Linked DNA regions of Mus musculus: regions 1, 3, 4 and 5 are each reported to be linked to region 2. The links are microRNA targets in miRTarBase. Many come from high-throughput screens and were not tested one by one. Region 2 holds a microRNA gene; each other region holds the end of a gene's coding sequence.
Evidence for each region. The annotated mature microRNA mmu-miR-743b-3p reads GAAAGACAUCAUGCUGAAUAGA and lies in region 2 at 2,384-2,405, opposite strand. An mRNA with a match to its seed (bases 2 to 7 or 8) in the 3' UTR can be bound and repressed. Matches are read on the target gene's strand: a 7mer-m8 pairs with bases 2 to 8, a 7mer-A1 pairs with bases 2 to 7 and ends in A, and an 8mer does both.

Region 1 (4,067 bases), not on the chromosome of region 2:
TGGTCAATTTAAAAGCCACAACACAAACCTTGTAGGCATTCACCAAACCTTTATTTAAAAGAAGCAAACCTGGAGTCTTGAGGACAGGAACTCACCATCACTGATTCAATTCAGATCTCTGGCTTCCCACACGGAGTGCTTTCAACAGCACTTCTGTGAGTGTAGAACACTGACAACCTGGGCTTTGCAATGCTAGCAGGCTTCAGGTTTCCAGACCCAGTTTCTCCCTTATGTCACTGGGTACAAACTGGCTACCCTCACCATTTACTATCCTGCAAACCACCGCCACCTGACACCTTTACTCTTTCTCTTGCTGCATGGCTGGGGATTGAACTTAGGGTGGCACAATACACACAAGACACGCACACTAACTACGGAACCACAGTCCCTGATACTCTTCCTTTTCTTCAGACATGAGTTTGTGGAAATCAGACCAACCTTACTAGTCATGGGCCATGTTTCCATTCTTAAAGAGATTATGGTTATCTGAGGAAAAGCCACCTCTCCAGCCCTGTGTGTGTTTTTGAGACAGGTTCTCACTATTAGCCTAGGCAGGCCTTGAATGTGTTTGTCTCTCTAGCCACAATCTAGTATTTCAGGTAAATATCCCCATGCCAAAGAGTAGGTCTCTTTAGTCCTACTCTTTGTGTTTTCCCCACAGAGGTTAACCTAGAAGTCTGAGATATGGTAGAAAAGCTTTACTACTGAGCTGTAGCTCAAACCGAGAGAGGAGAGACACCAGATTTTTTTTCTGTTGGTTTGGGAGACAGGGTTTTATTATGTAGCTCAGGCTAGCCTTGAACTTCTATTCCTTTTACCTCTATCTCTTGAGGGCTGGGATTCTAAATGTACCACTACACTGAACTTTTTTTAAACTTTGCTTTAATTTTAAAAACTCATTCACTGAAGGACATCTGGGTTGCTTCCATTTTGGTCTACTATGAACATAGCTACTAACCAGGGAAACTGGATCACTCAAACATCATTGGTGGGAAAATTATCTTCGGTTTTTAAAATATGAAATGTGTTTTTATTTATGTTCATTACATGTATGTGAGGGTATCAGAAACCCTGGAACTGGAGTTACAGACAAGTGTGAGCTGCCATGTGGGTGCTGGGAAATGAACCTGGGTCCTCTGGAAGAGCAGTGGTGGTCTTAACCACTGACCCATCTCTCCAGCACCCCATATACTGATCTTTAATCTTATTTTGAAACACTTCTAATAGACTTACATATAGTTCTAAGAAATAAAAGGCTTCATAAAAAATGGTAATTAAAAAAAATCACCACCCAGCTAGTTTACATTTATTAAGATCATGGATATATTAGATTCAAAGTAACAAAGCTCCAGGAAATAAATAGTCGTAACTAAGAAGGAAACTGTCTTTGTCAGTGTATGCCTAGTTAGCCTGCTTGCCTTTCCATTACAATAGGATGTTTTGTTGGGATTACTAGGAAATCTCTTATGGCTGTGGTCAGGCTTAAATCCTAGGGTGCAAGGCCCTGGGATCTCTGGCACCGAAGATAGGGAGTGTTTCAATCTTGGACGACTTACATTTGTCATTATATCAAGTCTGTGCTCAATGAACACAGGTGGCATACAGGTGATTGTGGGGTACAATCTACTGCTGAGATTTTTTTGCCTGAGACAAGGCCTCAGGCAACGCAAGCTGTCCACAAGCTCCTTATCCTTCTGCTTCGGCCTTCCAAGCACTGGGCATTAATTAGTCACAATGCTTGGTCCAAGTTCTTTCTTGACAGCCAAGGGTAAAATGTTAACACAATGGTTACTCTCTACTGGGAGAAGAAAACATCCAACTAAAGTGGTAGCTCCTGTTGAGTATAGGAAAAAACATAGCAAAGGGAAAGAGTCCATGCACTAGAGGATGGAGAGAACACTCTCAGCATAGAGTAAGCACCATAACAACCCAAAGAAACAGCAGTGCTTCTCCAAAATGTGAGCTTTAGAGGCCTGCTGAAAATTTGTATGAATTAATATATACATGTATTTTTTGAGACAGGTTCTTATATAGCCCAGATTGTTGCATCAAACTCACTATGTAGCCAAAGTTAAACATGAAACTCTACTTCCCAAGTCATGGAATTACAAGCATGTTACATGACTGACTTCAATGATATATATATATCACATAAATAATATCACATAAATATTAGTAGACTTTGTCCTAAACATCTATGTGTTTAACTCATTTGTAAAAATAATAAAAGCTTTATCACTCAGTCTCTGGTCAATAAGACAACATAACAATTTAACACAAAAGGACAGAAGACAGATACAATATTGATCAGTATTATCTTCCTTGTATTTGTAACATTAATACTGCGACAGAGAAGGATTAGTCCACACTTTGCAGGAGAAACAGGCTTTGAGATGATCAGACTTTGAAGACACAAGGACTCCCACTCCACTAAAGCAAGTGTTCAACATACCAACGGAGATCTTAGTGCTTTACATGGGTCTGTCCTGGCAGGGAACAAAAGCAGCCAAAGGGAGGCTCCAAGAAATGGGAGACACCAGTCACCATGTCAAGGTGAGAAAGTAGAAGCTTTACAGTTGGCAAAGTGTACCAATCAAGTGCTGCCCCAAGGAGGTCATCAGAGGAAAGGCAACAGAGCAATCGCAGATGTATCATGCATGAAAGGTAATTACAATACATTCTTTAATGACCAGACAATCTATGAGGCAAATTTTACAGTCATTGGAACAAATAAACTAGATTTAATCAGTAATGTCCTACCTACTGTCAGTTGTTTCAGTATAAAATAATGTCTAAAAAGTATATGCTTTGAGTATTTACTTTAGAACCCCCTTTGAGATAATAAAGACACTGTAACAAAATATCATTATCTTAATATACATTATCAACACCAATATGATACAGATATATAATTCTCCTTTTCTATATGTATGGTGGAAATACTGCAAAACCTAGAAAAAAGGATGAAAACAGACTGGCCAGAATTCAAATTATTGGACTAATCCATGATACAAATTTCCAAGGAAAACTTAAATAACCCATCATTGCTACATACACTGGCCTATGGAAAGTGCTGTCTGAAAAGAGAAAGAAAATGAAAACTCATTTTTGCTTCAAGTATTTGGTTTGTGCTCTGAATTTTTATTTTATTTTATCTTCACTGTTCCTTATTTTACTTTAATACAGGGTGTCTTGTGACTTTCACAGCTAGCCTTAGCCTCCCGGGCAGCTGGAGTTTTAAGTATGTTCCACTGTACCTGAGTTCACGATTTTAGTCATTAGTCAGATGTAAGAGGAAAACACTTCAAATGAATCATTTAGAGTAAGAATTCCAAACCAAGACAATGAGTGATGTCTCAGAGCTAACCCTGGAACAGTGACTCTCACAGGTCAGGTGCAGGTGACAGCACTTCTCATAGGGCCCCAACTTCTGTTCTCCCATATGTGCATTCTCTCTCATGGGCTATTTTACTTTACAAGTCCTTCTTTCAGTGACTGAAGAGGTGATGTCCAAACGTAACATGAATACACCTGCTAATCCTGAGATGACAGTGGTGGTGGCAGGAGTGATGGCGGTGGTAAAGGAAAAGCCATGTCTTTTCACTCAAACTTCTGCTTTAGTTGTTTTTGGAAGATGGCTGGCAGGATAGAAAGAAGGGCCAAAACCATCAGAATAAATACCGAGCTCCAGGAAACAGCTTCCCCTGCTGTTGTAAGCTGATGCAGAGTTGTTCCTGCCTTGATTGCTACAAAAGAAGGAGGTGCAACACCTAGAACAAAAAACAAGACAACAGTGAGAGAGTGAGGAGCAGTGGCAGCCTGTCACGAAAAGAAAAGCCACCATTTTTTCATGTTTGCATGTTTTGTGACAAGTGTATGTAAGTGTACCGTGTGTACCCAGTGCCAGAAGAGGTCATCAGATCTAGAGTTACAGACAGGTGTGAGCCTCCACTTCTAATCTCAGAACTTGGGAGGCAGAGGCAGGAGAATCTCTGTGAATTTGAGGCCAGCCTGGTCTACATAGCAAGTTAGTCTTGGGGCTGCAAAGATGGCTCAGCAGTTAAGAG
Region 2 (4,067 bases):
AAAGTAGTACAAATGTTGTGGCAGAACATAACCTCTTTATAATAGGACTTAAGGCCCACTCCATGAGACAGAATTCACATCCAATTCTATACAATCAGTCAAAAACATGAGACTAGAAAGGCCGTGAGCCTAGAGAAAACCAGTTTTTCTGTAAAGGACCATAACAATAAAATGACTCCTAATGATATTCTATAGTATGTATAGATCAGTGTTTTCCTCAGATATCATCAAATATGCTTCTTTTTCTTGGAACAATGTGTAGAGAGTAAGGGGTATGAAATAATCATTCCTAAGTGGGAGGTCTTTATCAAACACCTTCCCTTGGGGATCAAGGAGTTGTGCTGAAGATGAAGCTGAAAGACAATGAGAGCCAGAGGTAATGGATAACATCAAGGAAACAAGACCTTCTATATACAACAGGACTGATGCACATATGAACTCATCCAGACTGTGACAGAATACACAGGACCTGAACAAGTTCAAACCAAACATGTTCCCATGAGTGAGCATGGAAAATGGATATGAATTCCCATCATTAACTAATAAATTATTTCCAATTGACAGCTACTTACAAAGAAAAATTGTTTTCTTCAATTTCATCTCACTGGGTATAGTAACCACATTTAATTGTAGGCTCTATGCCAAGAATTATACAGCCAACACAATATGAACTCAATTATATTTTGTAGGTATTCTCTGTCTCTCCTCTCTCTCTCTCTCTCTCTCTCTCTCTCTCTCTCTCTCTCTCTCTCTCTTTATGTGTATAATGTGTTTCTTGGGCATTTTAAATTATTCTTTATTCACTCATTTATCTTGCTGATTTTTCTAAAGGAAGATAAAGAAATCTGGTAGTGAAGGTGGGGAGGATCTCAGAGAAGATGGGGGATGTGAAATTGTGGTCAGGATATATCTTAAACATTTTCAGAAAAAAAGAAACAAAACAAATGTAGAAGTGCTGACTCTATCAACTCTATAACCTCTAATAATATTCATCACTTGTACAAGTTATGACATCAGGAAGGATGCCTGAACCCTGAACACACCTAGGGAATGCAAAACTCATTATACATCACCTTGCATATATAATTTGACATCTTCTTCCTGCATTCCAATAAGATGAATAACTCTGAGTACCAATAACTGATCATCACTCTCAGCTTAATACCCTTTCCTTCATTCTTGCCAGACCACGTGCCAAACTTAGGGCCTCAAGCATACAATCTAATTATTCTAAAGACTGTGCTTTAGGCTCTTAAAAGTATGTTTTTTAGCACATAAATAAATTGAATTTTCCTTCTGTATTTTATCGGACCTATGTGAATTTTTGAATAACAACAACAACAAAAAGCATGAAGGTGACAACAACACCATTAAAAACCCTGAAGGTGTCCTAGGGCCCAGAAAAGTCAAAGAACACCATAATCAGAAATGCTAGGATATTTGTACTTATACAAAAATCACTATGCTAAAAGTAATGAGACAGCTTGTTAGACTTATTCTACTCACACAGAAGAACTGGTTAACAGTTTAAGCAAATATGGCTCTGTATAGAATTTTAGCATGTAGGGCGGGCCTCAATCATGTCCTAATAGTATCCTATTTATCAATCTGCCTTAATGAGTATAAAACCTTAACATATATCATATTTATTCCTATCTTAGGGAATATTCCTTGTACATAACATACTATGTCCTACTATATGGTTGACTGCCAAACTTTGTGTTAATTCTCCAATCTATATGCGGCTATAAAGTTAACACTGGGAATCAAAATTGTACTTAGGTAACAGATTAGGACTGGTTACATTTTGTGTAACTACAGATAAAACACCCTGACCACATAATACCACCTGCAATGAAGAACACAATAAGCCCTACTCTACTCAGCTTGGTGTCTTTCATTCTTATAAACATGACAGGCACCAATCTGAATACAGCACTGCATACAAGAACTTTAATGAGAATGCTCTGCCCCAGATCCTTCATCTACATGTCACACAAATCATTCTGCCCCACTCAACATGAAAACTCACTTCTGTTTATATGTATATATTAGAAAACATTCCTACAGTAGGCTATGAGTTTCTAGTTCTTCACTGTATACTATGTCCTGGTCTCTATTTACAGTGTTGATTCTCAAATCTACATAGATAAAAGATGTATCATTTGTTGATTGTGGGTTTAGTTTCTTCTAAGTATTTTTTTCTTTAACCTACATGTTATAATTGTGTAAAAATTGAACATCTAAAATTATACTCTGGATAAATATGGATCCTGAGGGTTACATATGACTAATTACAATGAGGGATTCATGTCAAGTGTAACTGCACTGCACCACTCTGACCAATTAAGGCATAATAAATGAAGAATATCATGGGCCTTACTCTATTCAGCATGATGTCTTTCACAAATATTTCACATGATGGACACCAGTCTGAACACAGCACTGCACACAACATACTGCCCTCTCCCACTCCTATTTCAGTGTCCTGGACAAAAAGTTAAGTACTAGTTGCATGCTTTGCATCAGTATGACTGATGCTTCATCTTTTTTTCTCTACCATGTAGTAATAACCATCATATTTGAGGATCCTGTCTAAATTCACCTTGAGGATGTATGCTGTGAAGATAAATACAGTATATACTAGTTTTCATGAGCCTTCATCAATTCTTGTAGTCTAGTGTGATAGGTGAACACTAGATTTCTTTATTCACAGGTCCAGGAAATGACAAAATCCTTCACCTTTCATTTCTCCTTCTGAATGTTGTGATCCCAATTTTTTATCTCATTTTGCTGATATTAAATATCCATTAATAATAAACATATTACTTTTATAATTGCACTCTCTGACCATTTTGAGGCATGTGTACAACCTTAAGCACCTTTTAAGTCTAAAAAAGTGGGGCTTTAAATGAGAAATGATGAAAATGGTAGCAATCTCAAGGATGCCTTTGAAGACGAAGTATAAGGTCCAGGGTATACAAAGTAAGGAGCTTGTTGAACATTACTCACTCTGAGAGACCATGTGTACACGCACTTAAGTCTCACTGACATTAATGTGTATAGGGATTGACACTAAAAAGCTTTCAGGAGAAATAGTACTCAGCAGAGAAGAGCCCACCAACTGCTTTTCCATGGTCAGCACTGAAATAACATACATAAAACTTTCAAAATATGGACTAAGCAGGGCATGAATGAGAGAGAGAACAAAGGGGTTAGTTGATTAGAGTGGCTGAAGGGAAGAAACGAAAGGGGAGAATTATAAAATATTTTAATTTAAAAAGCACTTAAAAATTAAAATGAAACTAAACTTATTTTCCATAGTGCTATGTCCCTAATTTTAAATATTTTCACCTATGAGAAATAGGAATTAGATGAAAGGTTCCCCCTATATCTTCACCTAAACAATGTCCTGTGAAGGTAGCTACAATCGATCTTAGAATCAGAAAATACTCTTGCATGTGCATCTATGTTCTTACATTTACAATGACAGTACTTTATGAGTATCCTTATATTGAGAGAGATACCCCAAACTGTTTAAACTGTTTAAACCCTTTTCTTAAAGAGACTTCCTCCACTGCCAGAGATCTTGAATAGCCTCCTGGTCAGTCATCCGGAAACAATTCTTCACATAATTAATGAACTTGGCTTCCACTTTGGGAAGAGAACCGCCTTTTTCTATACTTGCTTGCATTTTTGCCTTAATGTCTTCTACAGAACTAGGTCCTTTTGGTGTTTTAGGAGTCTTTTCCTGTTTTTTGAAGGACTCTTGACCCTTTGATCTCGGTGTTGACGGTTTTAAGTCTTTTCCATTTTGGTTTGATTTTTGTGCATTTTTGGCTGGGGTATCTCGTACAGATTTCTTCACTGGGACCTTTTCTTCAGTTTCCTCTTCATCAAAATCATCATCATCATCATCCTCATCATCCTCATCATCGTCCTCATCATCTTCATCAAGTTTTACTTTTTTCTGTATCCTTATATTGAGAGAGGTTAGTAGAAAGTGACTGGTATCTGTCCTATATCACAATGCACACACCAAAATGAATGGAGACATATCATCTCAT
Region 3 (4,067 bases), not on the chromosome of region 2:
AAATGGAAAGGCCACCCACCGGGATCTTAGTGGCCTGTTAGTTGTCCAGAGAGCCTGTACATTTTCACGGGGTTTGTAGAAAAATTTTAGGTCCTCGGGATAATAATGTAATAACAAGGGCTGAAGTGAATGCAGGGGTGGTGACTTATACAACGACCACAGCCTCATCTTCGTGGGACTTTAAAACTCTCACTGCTTAGCAAATAATCAAGTTCTGGGGACAGCATGGCCACCTCTGGGACTTTGTCTGCTCTGGTCCAAAGCAGCTACAGACAGACTTCTGTCTGAGCACTGAGCACTGGAAAGCAAAATCTTTTTTTTTCTTGTCTTGACAATTTGTCAATGTTAACCCGAAGCCATGAGGCTGCAATGATTACTTATAACTGTGGGCCCCAGTATCACTTCAGATTCCCGTAACCTTGCTGGGACCCACCCTTGTTTTACAGCACTGCCAGAGTTGAAACTCCTCTGCGGAGCTGATGTCCTCAAGACCTTCCAGACCCCCAACCTCTGGAAAGACACGCACATCCAGGAAATAGTGGAGAAGTTCGGCTTGGTGTGCGTGAGCAGGAGCGGTCATGACCCGGAAAGGTACATCTCGGACTCGCCCATCCTCCAGCAGTTTCAGCACAACATTCACCTGGCCAGGGAACCCGTTCTGAACGAGATCAGTGCCACATACGTCAGGAAAGCCTTGGGACAAGGGCAGAGCGTGAAGTACCTCCTCCCTGAGGCCGTCATCACCTACATCAGGGACCAGGGCCTCTACATCAATGACGGTTCCTGGAAAGGGAAAGGAAAGACTGGCTAGAGGGCCTCCTGGGGAGTAGGGGTATTCTGCTCTGGGTTCTGGGTTTGTTTCCACAGTGGTTTTTTTTTACCATGGGTGACTTCCTACTCCAGGAAGAGATCGTGCCTGTGGCAGAGACAGTCGAGTATCAGAGCAACTTAAGAGGCATGACAGGTCATAAGATTAGGGTCACTAAGGAGGAGACCTGCTTACTGTGTAAATGGCAGTCATGGGAGGCACACTGATGCTGTCCTGAGCATGGTTGGCCCCTGAGGGGTCCATCAAGTCGCCTTCGTTCGGGTTTTGTTTTTGTTTTTTGTTTTATAACTCGGGCCAGGTGCAGCATGCTGGTCTTGATAGGCAGAGTTTGACAGGGCGCTAATTACTGAGCAGAGGACCTTTTCAACATCCTCGGCTCAAACAATAATAGCAAGTGAGGATTCAGAAATCTGGAAACAGAACATCATTGATTTCCAATGTATCCTCCCTTGTAACCATGGCCTGCCTGCCTGTCTGTCTGTCTGCCACCTGCCTGTGGTGTAACATAAAATTTTTGACTACCTTCTTTCTATGTTGTGGTCAAGCAATATGTGTTTAAGATCTGTTTTATCATATGAGCGTATGTGTGTGTGTGCATGTGTCTTTACATGCGTGTGTACATGCACATGGGAGGGACATCAGAGTGCCTGAAACCCAAGTTACTGGCAGTTGTGAGCCCCCTGATGTGGGTGCTGGAACCCAAACTCCAGTCTTAGGGAAGAGCAGCAAGAGAGTTCTTAACCACTAAGCTGTCTCTCCAGCCCCCTCAAGCAATATTTTTGATACACCATGTATTTTTACACTGCTATACTCTAAGCACCAGGGTTCCCAATATCCTGATTTCTAAAAGGGAACCGAAGTAAAACAGATGCCTGACTGTTTTAGAAGATCTTTTGAATGTTTTATGACTGCCTGCTTGTTTGAATATTGGCAAAAAGATAAATAATAAATTGACATCAAAAATACTAATGAAAAGTTTCTCTTTTTTTTTTCTTCCTTTGTTATATTATTCATGCCCAGGGATCCAGGATTGCTCTTCTTTTTAAATACTCTGTGAGATTTGCTCCCATTCCAATTGAAGTGGCCTGAATTTAAGAGTTTGTGTCCTGAGCACTGGAAATAGAGGACTGTCCTAGTCACATTTACACAGCCTAGCGTCACCCAGGAGGAAGTCTCAATTGAATGATTAGCCGGATCAGATTTTGGCCTGGGGGCAGGTTTGTGCAGTGGCGTTGTCTTGTTTGCTAGCTACTGTAGAAGCATCCAGCACACTGTGGGCAAGACCTGGAGCTGGTGGTCCTGAGCTATCTAAATGCCCTAGCTGTGCGTGAGCTTAAGCCAGGCAGCAAGCAGCATGCCTCCACAGTTTCTGCTTCAAGTTGCGGCCCTGCCTTCCCTCAGTGACAGACTGTGTGGCCTGGAGGTATAAGATGACATAAGCCCTTTCCTCTCTAGTTTGCTTTTGGTCAAACTGTTTTATCACAGCTAAAGAGATGGAGCTAGAACTAGGAAGGAACTTAGCAGACCCCAAGCAGTCTTCCAACCTAAGGCAGCAGGCCCTGGTGGTGTTTCTGTGTGCCCTGAAGGAGGAGAATGAAGTGTTTGGGATCGCCCACTCCACTCCTGGATTCACCTTTGGGCCTGCTGAAGGAGTAGCACAGAGTCTGAGTCTCCATGCTCCGTCCTGGCCCAGCTTGGCTACATATTTAGTGACACAGAAAAGCAATAGGGCAGGCAAAGAGGATCTGATAGCCCTCCCTCCCCAAAAACTCCCAGGATTCGTGTGAGCCGTGAAACAGATAAGCAGGAAATACAGAGCACAGTGGCTCCTGTGAGGGCCTGCAGGATTCTTCCCTCCTTGCCTGGGTTCTCCCCTCCAAGAGGTCCCCGAGAGCCGTGCTCACTCAGGGAAATAGGGATCGAATAGCCTTGTCTAAAACCTGCCACAGAACATAGTAGGACTTCAACTCCTCTCACCACTGTAGGCTATACAGTTTCTCTAACTCCAAAGTGGAGGATTTGATTAAGCCTACTCTGAATTCTTCCAACTATAATTTTCTTTCTTACTTACTAAAAAAAAGAAGAAAGAAAGAAAGAAAGAAAGAAAGGAAGGAAGGAAGGAAGGAAGGAAGGAAGAAAGAAAGAAAGAAAGAAAGAAAGAAAGAAAGAAAGAAAGAAAGAAAGAAAGGAAGAAAGAAAGAAAGAAAGAGTATATGTATGTGTATATAATATATATTACATATAGTTAGTTAGCTTGGGTTTTGAGCTTCTGTTTTGATTTGGTTTTGTTTGTTTGGGACTATTGTTTGGCAAAGTTTCACTCTTAACACAGACTAGCCTGGAATTTGCTAGGTAAGCTAAACTGGCCTAGCCTCAGTTTTTCAGCAATCCTCCTGCCTCAGTGCTGGGATTCAGAGCACACAGCACCATTCCCAGCTCAACCCTGAGTTTGTAAGACTGAATGCTTCCGTTTCAGCCTCTTGGGCCTTCTTTGGGCCCCGTACCCATCTAGCCAGACTGGAAACTTCCAATGGCCAGGGGATCATTTGTAGATGCTAATGTTGTATTGTTCTCCCAGGAGCTGGCTCCAGGAAGACTCTCAGGCCCCTGCAAATGGACCAACAGATTCAGCTTTTTAATGAGCCTCATTGGCCTCAGCATCGCTCACTGCAGCATCAAATGATAACTTGTTTCATTAAGCTGAGGGTACCATTGAAACCGCATGACACTCCAATGAGTACCATCTTTTCTGCTCTCTGAGCCATATCACCCCACTGTTATATATGAGTCGAGAAGGGAGAGAACAAAGCCTGCATGCAGACAGTGGTATCTGAAAAGTGAGGTAGAGAAGGGGGCTGCAGCCTCAACAACGGACAGTCAGGGCTGTCCAACTCTTTGCCTGGATAATACTTCCCTGGCCTGTGTACTGTAAGACTCCTTTCTCTGTGCACAAGATGCTAATGCCTAACATCCCACAAATGTAGCAACACAACTGCCCAATACATTTGTCAAACATACCAGTTCTACTGCAGTTAGACCCACTGGTTCGAGACAACGATGGAGATGGGAGAGTTTATATTTTTCCCCTTCTCTTTCTCAGTTAAGGACATCAAGAAACTGCAGTATCTGAATGAGCTTCTTTAACAGAAGACCAGTGAGAGGCCTCAACCATTCAGGGAGTCATGTTCACTGTACAGCACTCGATGCCATTGCATAGGAATTAGAACACAGCACGCCG
Region 4 (4,067 bases), not on the chromosome of region 2:
CCCATTAGAGATGGTTGTGAGCCACCATGTGGTTGCTGGGAATTGAACTCTGGACCTCTGAAAGAGCAGTCAGTGCTCTTAACCTCTGAGCCATCTCTCTGCCCTGATTTATTTATTTATTTATTTTTGATAGTTTTTTTTTCTTTTTCTTTCTTCCTTTTTGGTTTTTGTTTGTTTGTTTGTTTGGTTTTTTTTGAGATAGATTTTCTGTATGTAGCTCTGGCTGTCCTGGAACTCACTACATAAAACAGGTAGACACCTCGAGCTCACAGAAATCTGCCTCTCATTTGCTGGAATTAAAGGTGCGTCCCACCGATCCTGGCAGGTTTGTTTTCTTTAGAAACAATTGTAACCCAGTCAGTTTAAAATTGCCCTCCAACATAGGCCACCATGGGTGGGTACGAAAGTGTAAAATGTGTGCAACTGGGGAGAGAGCACATGCAGCCAAGCCTGGTGGCCTGCACCAGGAAGAGAGGCGGCTCCTGTATGTTGTCCCCTGACTCCTCACGCCACAGGCACTGCGGCAAGTGCACATACACATGTATTCACGTCCAGAGTGCAGAAACGTAAGCTCAGTAGAACCGAATAATCCACTATTTGTTCCTGAGTGCAGTCCATGTTCTCAGCAGATTCCCCCATGTCTCCCTTTAGTCCTGCATCTGGCCTGCGCAGGTCAGCATGTGGCTTGCACCAGGCTCCTCCTACAGTCGGGACTGAAGGATTCCGAAGACCTCACAGGCACCTTGGCCCAGCAGCTCACGAGAAGCGTAGATATCCTTCAGGACTTTGACCATGACGTGAAATCGTAGGATGCTTGAAGAAGGAGGCGATGGAGTTCAAGGCCGTTCATATTCTGCTCCTTCTGTTGCTGAGAGACAGGGTATCGAGTTCCTTCTCGGCCAGCGTTTTCATCTCCTCCTGCTGCCTTTCCTTCTGCATGCTCTTCGGTCGAATGACCAGGAGTCTGGATTCCTGGCATGTTGTGTGATCTTGAACGTAGCCATTTGTTTTTTCATTTTTAAACTGTAATGAGGGTTAAACTGAGAACTTTCACACACTCAGCAAGTGCTATGCCACTGAAGCACATCACCAGCCCCGGATCTTGGCTTTTCTACGCTGCAAGGAGAATCAGGTTAAACATAGAGGTTTGTGTATCCTTAGGGAGTGAATGTAATATATGTGTCTTTAAATATATAAAAATCTAATAAAACAATATAAACTGATGTTTATTCAAGCTCTAAAACATAGTTGGCCTATTCAATTTTTTCCTTTGTAGCTTTCATGTGGCCCTTTGGTTTCATTGCCAGGAAGGGCGTGTTTTTGCCGTTTTTATCAAAGTTTATAAAGACACTTGATGGACAGACACTGTTTTATATATGTGAATGGATAGTTTGCCTGCATGTATGTTTGTGTGTCACATGCATGCTTAGTGCCTTTGAAGGCCAGAGGGGGCAGCAGATTCCCTGGAACTGGAGTTACAGTTGTGTGAGCCTCCGTGTGGATGCTGGGAATCCAACCCCAGGTCCTCTGAGGGAACAGTCAATGTGCTGCACCACAGAGCTGAGCCATCTCTCCAGCCCCAGGGAGAAGATTTTAAATGTGAAGGAGTTTTTGTCTGTTTCAGTAGACAAGTTCAGTCATGAGCAGGATTTGACCCTCACTAGTTTAATACTATTACCCACCTCCCTCACTCCATATTGTGCTTGCCCTGTCAAATAGCAAAGACCTCCAGCTTCTCTTAATTAGTCTCCTATGGAGTTTATAAACCCCTGTTCCTAACCACCGGGTAAATGTTACTGTAGAAACACGATCCTATCTAATAATCTTTCTCATACACTGTACATCTATACTCATCTCAGACGGGATTACCGCTCTCCCTCGCGTCAGAGATCGCCCTGTCCCCGTGCCTTATGGGTCTGAGACTGATACTGGTGTGTGGTACTTAATGTATGCATGTTGGGGCTTAAGGTCATCCTTACACACACAGGCATTCTCTCCATTCCTGTTCATATTCTCTCTCTCCCTTCCCCTCCCCCTCCTCCCCTCCCCAGCACAAGCCTCTTTCTGTGCCTGGTGCTAGCCTCAGATTTGCAAAACTTCCAAGCTCTGAGCACTGAGCTTTGAGGCCTGACTTGTAATGCCTGCTATCTCTTTCTTGTTTGCAATTCTTCACTCATAATTAATTCCCCTGTGTCCCTTTGCTTCTGCCCTTCCCAGTACTAGACTCTGTAAGCATTGACTACCACAGGCCACTGCTTAAATTACTCAGCAGCCAGAGACGGTAGTGGTTATCACAGCATTAATTGTAGCAGAGAAAGTAATAATGATAGATGATGACAATACACTGTGGGTGTAATACTAGATCAGAAATACTAATAGCAGTCCATGTGGTAATAAGTATTTCCCCCTAATTATGGTTACTTTCTTCATTTCCTTTGGGTCTCTCAATAGGTCACTCTCCCAGGACATCCTGCCTGAAATGCTCCTTACCCCTTTTTGCAGCATTTGCTCCCACCGTCTTCAGTGCTCACATAACCTAGAGTCACCTGAAAGGGGAAGCTTAATGATTCGCACTAAGTTGGCATTAAGTTCCCATTGGGTTAGCAGTCCGTGTGTCTGTGAGGGATTGTCTTAAAATTAAGTTAATTGATATGGGAAGACCCAGCCCAGTGTGGGCAGCGTCATTCCCTGCACAGTATGTCCTGAACCGTATAAGAGGGGAGAGATTGAGCTGAGCATCAGCGAGCAGACAAGTGGGCACGATACATTCATTTCTCTCTGCTTTTAACTCCAGGTGTGTCTTTGAGATCCCTTCCTGGACTGCTGCACAGTTAGGGAGTGAAATAAGCCTTTCTCTCCTGAGTTGCTTTTTTTTTTCAGAGTATTTTATCAGAGCAACAAAAATAGAACTAGACCCCCTCCCACTTGTTTTTTTCTTCTTGGTATTTACCACTAGCAAATATTCCATATAAACTGCAAGTAACTTTTTTATTATCTCTGTCTTCCATTGATATTTAACCTGCTTGGGTCAGGACTGAGGCCTAGAACAGTCTTGGTACAGAGTAAGTATATTGTAGTGTGGTTAGTGAATACATTAGAGATTTATATTTATTGAGTGCTTAATGTATGACAACTGGTGTGCTGAACACCTTACCCATGTTTGTTCATGTTGTTCTCTGGCTTTTACGCTTTGTAGATAGTTATTATTCCATCTCAAGCAGCCTTTTTCACACACACTCCCTTGAGAAGAGTCAACATTTCGAACCTCAGCTCACAGGCCCCATCTTGCTACGCTGCAGTCTGGCTTTGGCTTTACTGCTGATCCCCTGTGCAGACCACTCCCTGTGAAGTACCCGAGAACTTACTTCTTTTCTTTTCTTTTTTCTTTTTTCTTTTTCTTTTCTTTTTTTTTTTTTTTTCCGAGTGAGGGTTTCTCTGTGTAGCTCTGGCTGTCCTGGAACTCACTCTGTAGACCAGGCTGGCCTCGAACTCAGAAATCCGCCTGCCTCTGCCTCCCGAGTGCTGGGATTAAAGGTGTGTGCCACCACTGCCTGGCCCCAGGGACTTTCTAATTGTCTAGATAGGGTCTCACTATGTAGCCCTGGCTGTCCTGGAACCCACTATGTAGAAGACTGGCCCCAACTCACAGAGCCTCCTACTCCTGCCTCCTGGGTGCTGGGATTAAAGGCATGACAGGTTAAGAAAGGCTTCTTAACTCTGGGCTTATTAATGTCTTAGTCCCTTCTGCTTTCTGGACTTTGTACCAGAGATAACTCACTCCAGGTTTGTTCTTTTGCTTCTTTTTGATCTTCTCCCCTCACAGCCCTCCCCACCCCATTTTTTTCAAAGATAGGATCTCAGTGGGCATCCTGAGCTGGACTTTAGTGTGTGGTCCTCCTGCTTTGGCCCTCTTGAGTGCTGGGATCGAAGGCATGATCGTACATGCCTTCTGAGTTTCCTTTTCTTATTCTGTGTCCCTTGCACACTTCTCTCTTGGGGTCTGCCCCTTGAATACTGGTACACTCAGCTTCATGCCCAGCTTCTCCTCTTTGTTCTGCACTTGCTAC
Region 5 (4,067 bases), not on the chromosome of region 2:
CATAGTCCTCTTCACCCAACCTATCCCAATTTACCTTCTGCCCATTGGGTCCAGTAGATGGGAGTGTCTGCACAAAGGTGTTGCACTGAAACTCCCACTTGGGTAGGGTCCACAGTATGGCCCCCCAAAACTGCCAGCAGCTCCTGGGCATAGTGGGTATCCCGGCCAGGTACATGTGACTCTTGGGCCTGCAGAAAGACTCTGGTGGACCACCGTATAGTACTTCCTTGCTCCTGGCTGGGAAGGGTATTGGTGCCCACCCCAGGCTGATGGCCCCTCCACCTGCCCTTGTCAACAGCCTTAGTCAGGGGAAAATAGAGCTTTCTGTTCCCCTGAAACCAGAGCCTTGGCTGGCCCAGCTGGACTGCACAGAGGACCTTTTGTTTATCCCCTGGCCTTGGGGGTTTGTGGGTGGCAAGCCAAGTAGTACTGCTCACCCTGGAAGTGTTCAGCAGCAGCTGCAGGGTCTCCCAATCTTGGGCTTCCATCAGACGGAGGAAGCAGGCTTGGTGCTCTGCAGGGCGGTAACAGATGTAGCCCTGGGGGTGGCGGGGCAGATAGGTAAGTCGAGGCCACCCCTGACACCTCCACTCTCTCTCTCTCCCAAGCCCACTCACGTTCTGCCCGTCAAACAGCACAGCCCAGCTGTGGTTGCTCTGAAACGGAGTCACCACGATGGTTGCCATGTTCTGGGCCACATCCACTAGAGTAGTTTGGTTGGGCCAGGGTACCCTGGAGCTCGGGAAGGTCTTTCGGAGCATCTGCAGCAACGGCTAAGGGATATTTGGGATTCAGCCTTAACCTATGTTTCCACATCCTTCTGGTTCTCTATCTGCTCGAGGCTGGTATCTAGACCTGGCCCCATGCGAGAACTGACAGGTACTGGCCTTCCTGCCCTCTTCCCACTCTGCATACCCCGAGGCTTGAAGAGGTGCTTACCTTGGGAGAGCTGTACATGAAGCCAAGAAGCCCCCCAGCCACGGCCCCCGCAGTGAGCAGTGTCAGCAGCAGCAGCAGGCCTGCTGCTCTCCAGCCCCTATGGCAGGGTTTGGTCTTCACCTGAGGGCACAGTACTGGCCGTGGGGCTTCTGGCTTAGAGACTCAGGGAAGGGGCTGAGGATGGTATGTGGTAACATTCCTTTCTTCTATGGCATCCCTGAGTTCTTGTCTTGGGGGTGGTAGAGACTTACCTCAGCAGGCTTGGACCTGAGGCTCTCAGTGTGGATGCGCCCTTGCTTCATGCTGCAGCCCCTGCTGACAATGCACTGATTGTCTGCAGCCCCTTGGAGGAGTCAGCCAGGGAAACCTCAGGATGCCTTTGATGAATCAAACTGTATCCTCCCCTTCCAACCCCACTGCTTCCTTCCCAGCCAGTATCTGATATCCTGCCTCAGCCAGGACAACCCTCTCCCCCACATGTGATTGCTGGTCACTAGTTTGTCTCTGGACTCTTGGCCTGTGCAGAACATGGGGTCTTGGTGTGTGTTAGAGCTGGCCTTGAAGTCAGAATTGGCTAGGTCTTCGCCAGGGTGATTTTGATCTGGTTGGGCAGACTTTTTTTCTTGGTGTTGCCTCCGGACTCCTGAGCTAGACACCGGAACTATCAATAAATGTGTATGAACCATCAGTGTGAGGCCGATTGCTTTCTTACCTTCCCTCACAAACTCCCAAGCTTCTTTCAAGACCCCCATTAGCATCAGATGGGGCTGTTGATATTTCTATGTGCACGATCGTGTGCTTCAGGCTGGACCAAGAACAAGTACCTTGCTCCACATTAGTTAAGCCAGCCTCTGTTCCCTAGCATGTTTTTTCCTACTCTAGCTCTATTGTCTTGGTCACTTATCTCTGTGACTTGGTGGCCTAGCTGTACACACATCCCAGTACTTTACACCTTGTATTTCCAGTTTCTTTAGCACCTGTTCCTTATAGACAGGGTGGGGCTGCAGGTGGGCATGCCCACTGGGAATGATTTTAGAGTTGGAATCCCAGCCTGCCTTCAGTGCTCCTGCCTTGCTCCCACTCATAGCTAGACAACTGCTTCTCAAAGAAATTAGAGGAAGGCAGACCTAATCATCATGGGTTTGAGAGTTTAATGTGCATTTGAGATCACACAGCAAGACAAGCTAGAAATGTCACACACACACAGGTTCTCCAGGTTTGTCCAGAGGAGGGTCTCTCTGGCTACGCACCTGCCAAGCCTGGTCATTATCCAGACTCCAAGGATCAGCACCACCAATGTCATAGGCACTACCACAGTCGTGTTGATCTATGGCACCTTCCACTCCCGCCCCTGGCCCGGGAACAGCTTCAGGCATGGATAGATATCTTTTATTGCTCTGAGAACTTGGTGAGTAGGTCCTGTTGATCCATGGCACCATTCCACTCCCACCCCTGACCTGGGAGCAGCTTCCGGCATGGATGAATACCTTTTATTGCTCTGAGAACTTGGTGAGCAGGCGAAGTCCTGTGGCCATGAGCATAGCCACTTGGTACAGGGCATGGTGCCAGAAAGGAGTCAGCCAAAAGGAACTTCCCAGTCTGCTCAGAACACTGAAAGGTCAGGGACTGGAAGAGCAGGGGAAAAGGCCAGAGATGCTGAGAAGCCAACTGGCTAGTAGGTCTTATGGCTGGCCACCAACAAGGAAGTCCACCTGTCTACAACAAAACTGACCTGGACAAGGGGGGGGGTTGGCTGCTTTCTTAGAGACTTAACTATCCTCAGGACTGACTCCTGCCTACCCAGAGGACTCTGGGAAACAAGACAATCCTCGGCTAGCACACTGGCTATGCTGCTGACTGGGACAGGAGATTTCTTTAGTGGGGTTTACCGTTGCGACAGCACAACTATTAATCCACACGCGTAAGATCCAATTTCACACTTGACAGTGTTGTTCACTAGTTTGAAAAAAACAAAACCCCAAACAACCCAACTGTTCTGAGCTCCCGGGAAAGCAGCATGGTGTTGGGAGCTGCTCAGCAGGCCACACTTAAGACACCTAGGCCAAGTTCACAAAAGACAAGTTTAGTTGGGCTGTTACTGTGCATGAGGGTCTGCAGTACTGAGCATCTGAAACAGAACAGACAATTGTGATGTCAAAGAGGCAGAGTAGCGGAGGCTGTCGGGGTTGGCATCCAAACCCCAGCTATAGAGCGCTCCCACCCCACAGGTGAGGAACTGGGACGCAGTAGCAGGCGCCTCTGCCGCAGGATCATTAGGGGAAACCCCAGTTTTTGGTCTCTGTGTCATTAAGAGCCCTTTTTAACTCTGCCCACCTTAGGGCCTGATCCCTGATTACATTTCAGTAAAAAGCATGACACACAACCCTTGACCCATTTCAGTCTCAGCAACAGGGCCTGAGGTTACCTGAATGTTGGGCACATGCTATGCCCACCCCATAATGCCTTCCAAGCTTAAAAGTGCATCTTAAAATATAATTCTCTGTAAACAACCCCCCCCAACGTTTACTTACAAGATTAACTACTGCCTTTGCTTATTAACTTCAGTTAACCTGCAGCCACCTAACAGAGCAATTTCTAAGCCCCACTATTAATTTAGGTAGCTGATTTTCTTTTTCTTTTTTTTATTCCAGAGATTAAAGACACTAGATCTTTAACCTTGAAGGGCAGGCAAGAGGTCGGCAATGCTGTCAACATAGAAGTCAGGGACCATTTTCTTCTTGAACATGCAGTCACTTTCCTGATTGCTCTTCACATCCTCAAGACTGGAGACTCCGGTGAGGGTCAGGATAGTCTTCAGGCTACAGGTGGAGCCCAGGAGGATGTCTGTGTCCAGGCGGTCTCCCACCATGACGGTGCGCTCCGGGTTGATACCATACTCCTGGGACACGCAGTCGAAGATGAAGCGGCTAGGCTTCCCGATGATGTCCGCCTGGCGCTGGGCGGCCATCTCCACGGCTCGCACCAGACAGCCGGTACCTGCAGAGCGAGGGAGGGAAGGGGACGCTGGGGTCAGAGGACACGGAAGGGCTGGGCCCGCCCTCCAACCTCCAGCCCCTAGGTGCACGGACCCGCAATGAAACGGCCGTTCTCTAGCGGGAGCCGGTTGT

Region 1: the mRNA of Tmem41b is a reported target of mmu-miR-743b-3p. Seed matches in the 3' UTR shown: 8mer at 2,843-2,850.
Region 3: miRTarBase lists Nmnat3 as a target of mmu-miR-743b-3p. Seed matches in the 3' UTR shown: 8mer at 1,429-1,436.
Region 4: the mRNA of Ankrd16 is a reported target of mmu-miR-743b-3p. Seed matches in the 3' UTR shown: 8mer at 1,181-1,188.
Region 5: the mRNA of Pgp is a reported target of mmu-miR-743b-3p. Seed matches in the 3' UTR shown: 8mer at 3,595-3,602 and 7mer-m8 at 3,013-3,019.

The regions. Positions count from the first base shown.
Region 1 is chr7:109,971,182-109,975,248 of GRCm38, forward strand. It overlaps Tmem41b (transmembrane protein 41B), which reads right to left. Exons shown (of 7, transcript NM_153525.5): 7 at 1,006-3,770. The coding sequence ends at 3,601. Among named protein-coding and RNA genes, the nearest start is that of Dennd5a, 13 kb to the left of the region's middle.
Region 2 is chrX:66,774,883-66,778,949 of GRCm38, forward strand. It overlaps Mir743b (microRNA 743b), which reads right to left and starts at 2,450; the gene lies at 2,374-2,450. Mir743 (microRNA 743) reads right to left here and starts at 1,936; the gene lies at 1,875-1,936. It also overlaps the pseudogene Gm14681.
Region 3 is chr9:98,409,631-98,413,697 of GRCm38, forward strand. It overlaps Nmnat3 (nicotinamide nucleotide adenylyltransferase 3), which reads left to right. Exons shown (of 5, transcript NM_144533.3): 5 at 447-1,798. The coding sequence ends at 811. Among named protein-coding and RNA genes, the nearest start is that of Rbp1, 11 kb to the right of the region's middle.
Region 4 is chr2:11,789,083-11,793,149 of GRCm38, forward strand. Ankrd16 (ankyrin repeat domain 16) reads left to right here. Exons shown (of 7, transcript NM_177268.4): 7 at 652-1,243. The coding sequence ends at 809. Among named protein-coding and RNA genes, the nearest start is that of Ankrd16, 13 kb to the left of the region's middle.
Region 5 is chr17:24,471,111-24,475,177 of GRCm38, reverse strand. It overlaps Pgp (phosphoglycolate phosphatase), which reads right to left. Exons shown (of 2, transcript NM_025954.4): 1 at 4,029-4,067; 2 at 2,068-3,936. The coding sequence ends at 3,611. Mlst8 (MTOR associated protein, LST8 homolog (S. cerevisiae)) reads left to right here. Exons shown (of 9, transcript NM_001252464.1): 9 at 1-1,628. Bricd5 (BRICHOS domain containing 5) reads right to left here and starts at 1,294. Exons shown (of 5, transcript NM_175682.3): 1 at 940-1,294; 2 at 618-773; 3 at 438-539; 4 at 35-188. The coding sequence starts at 957.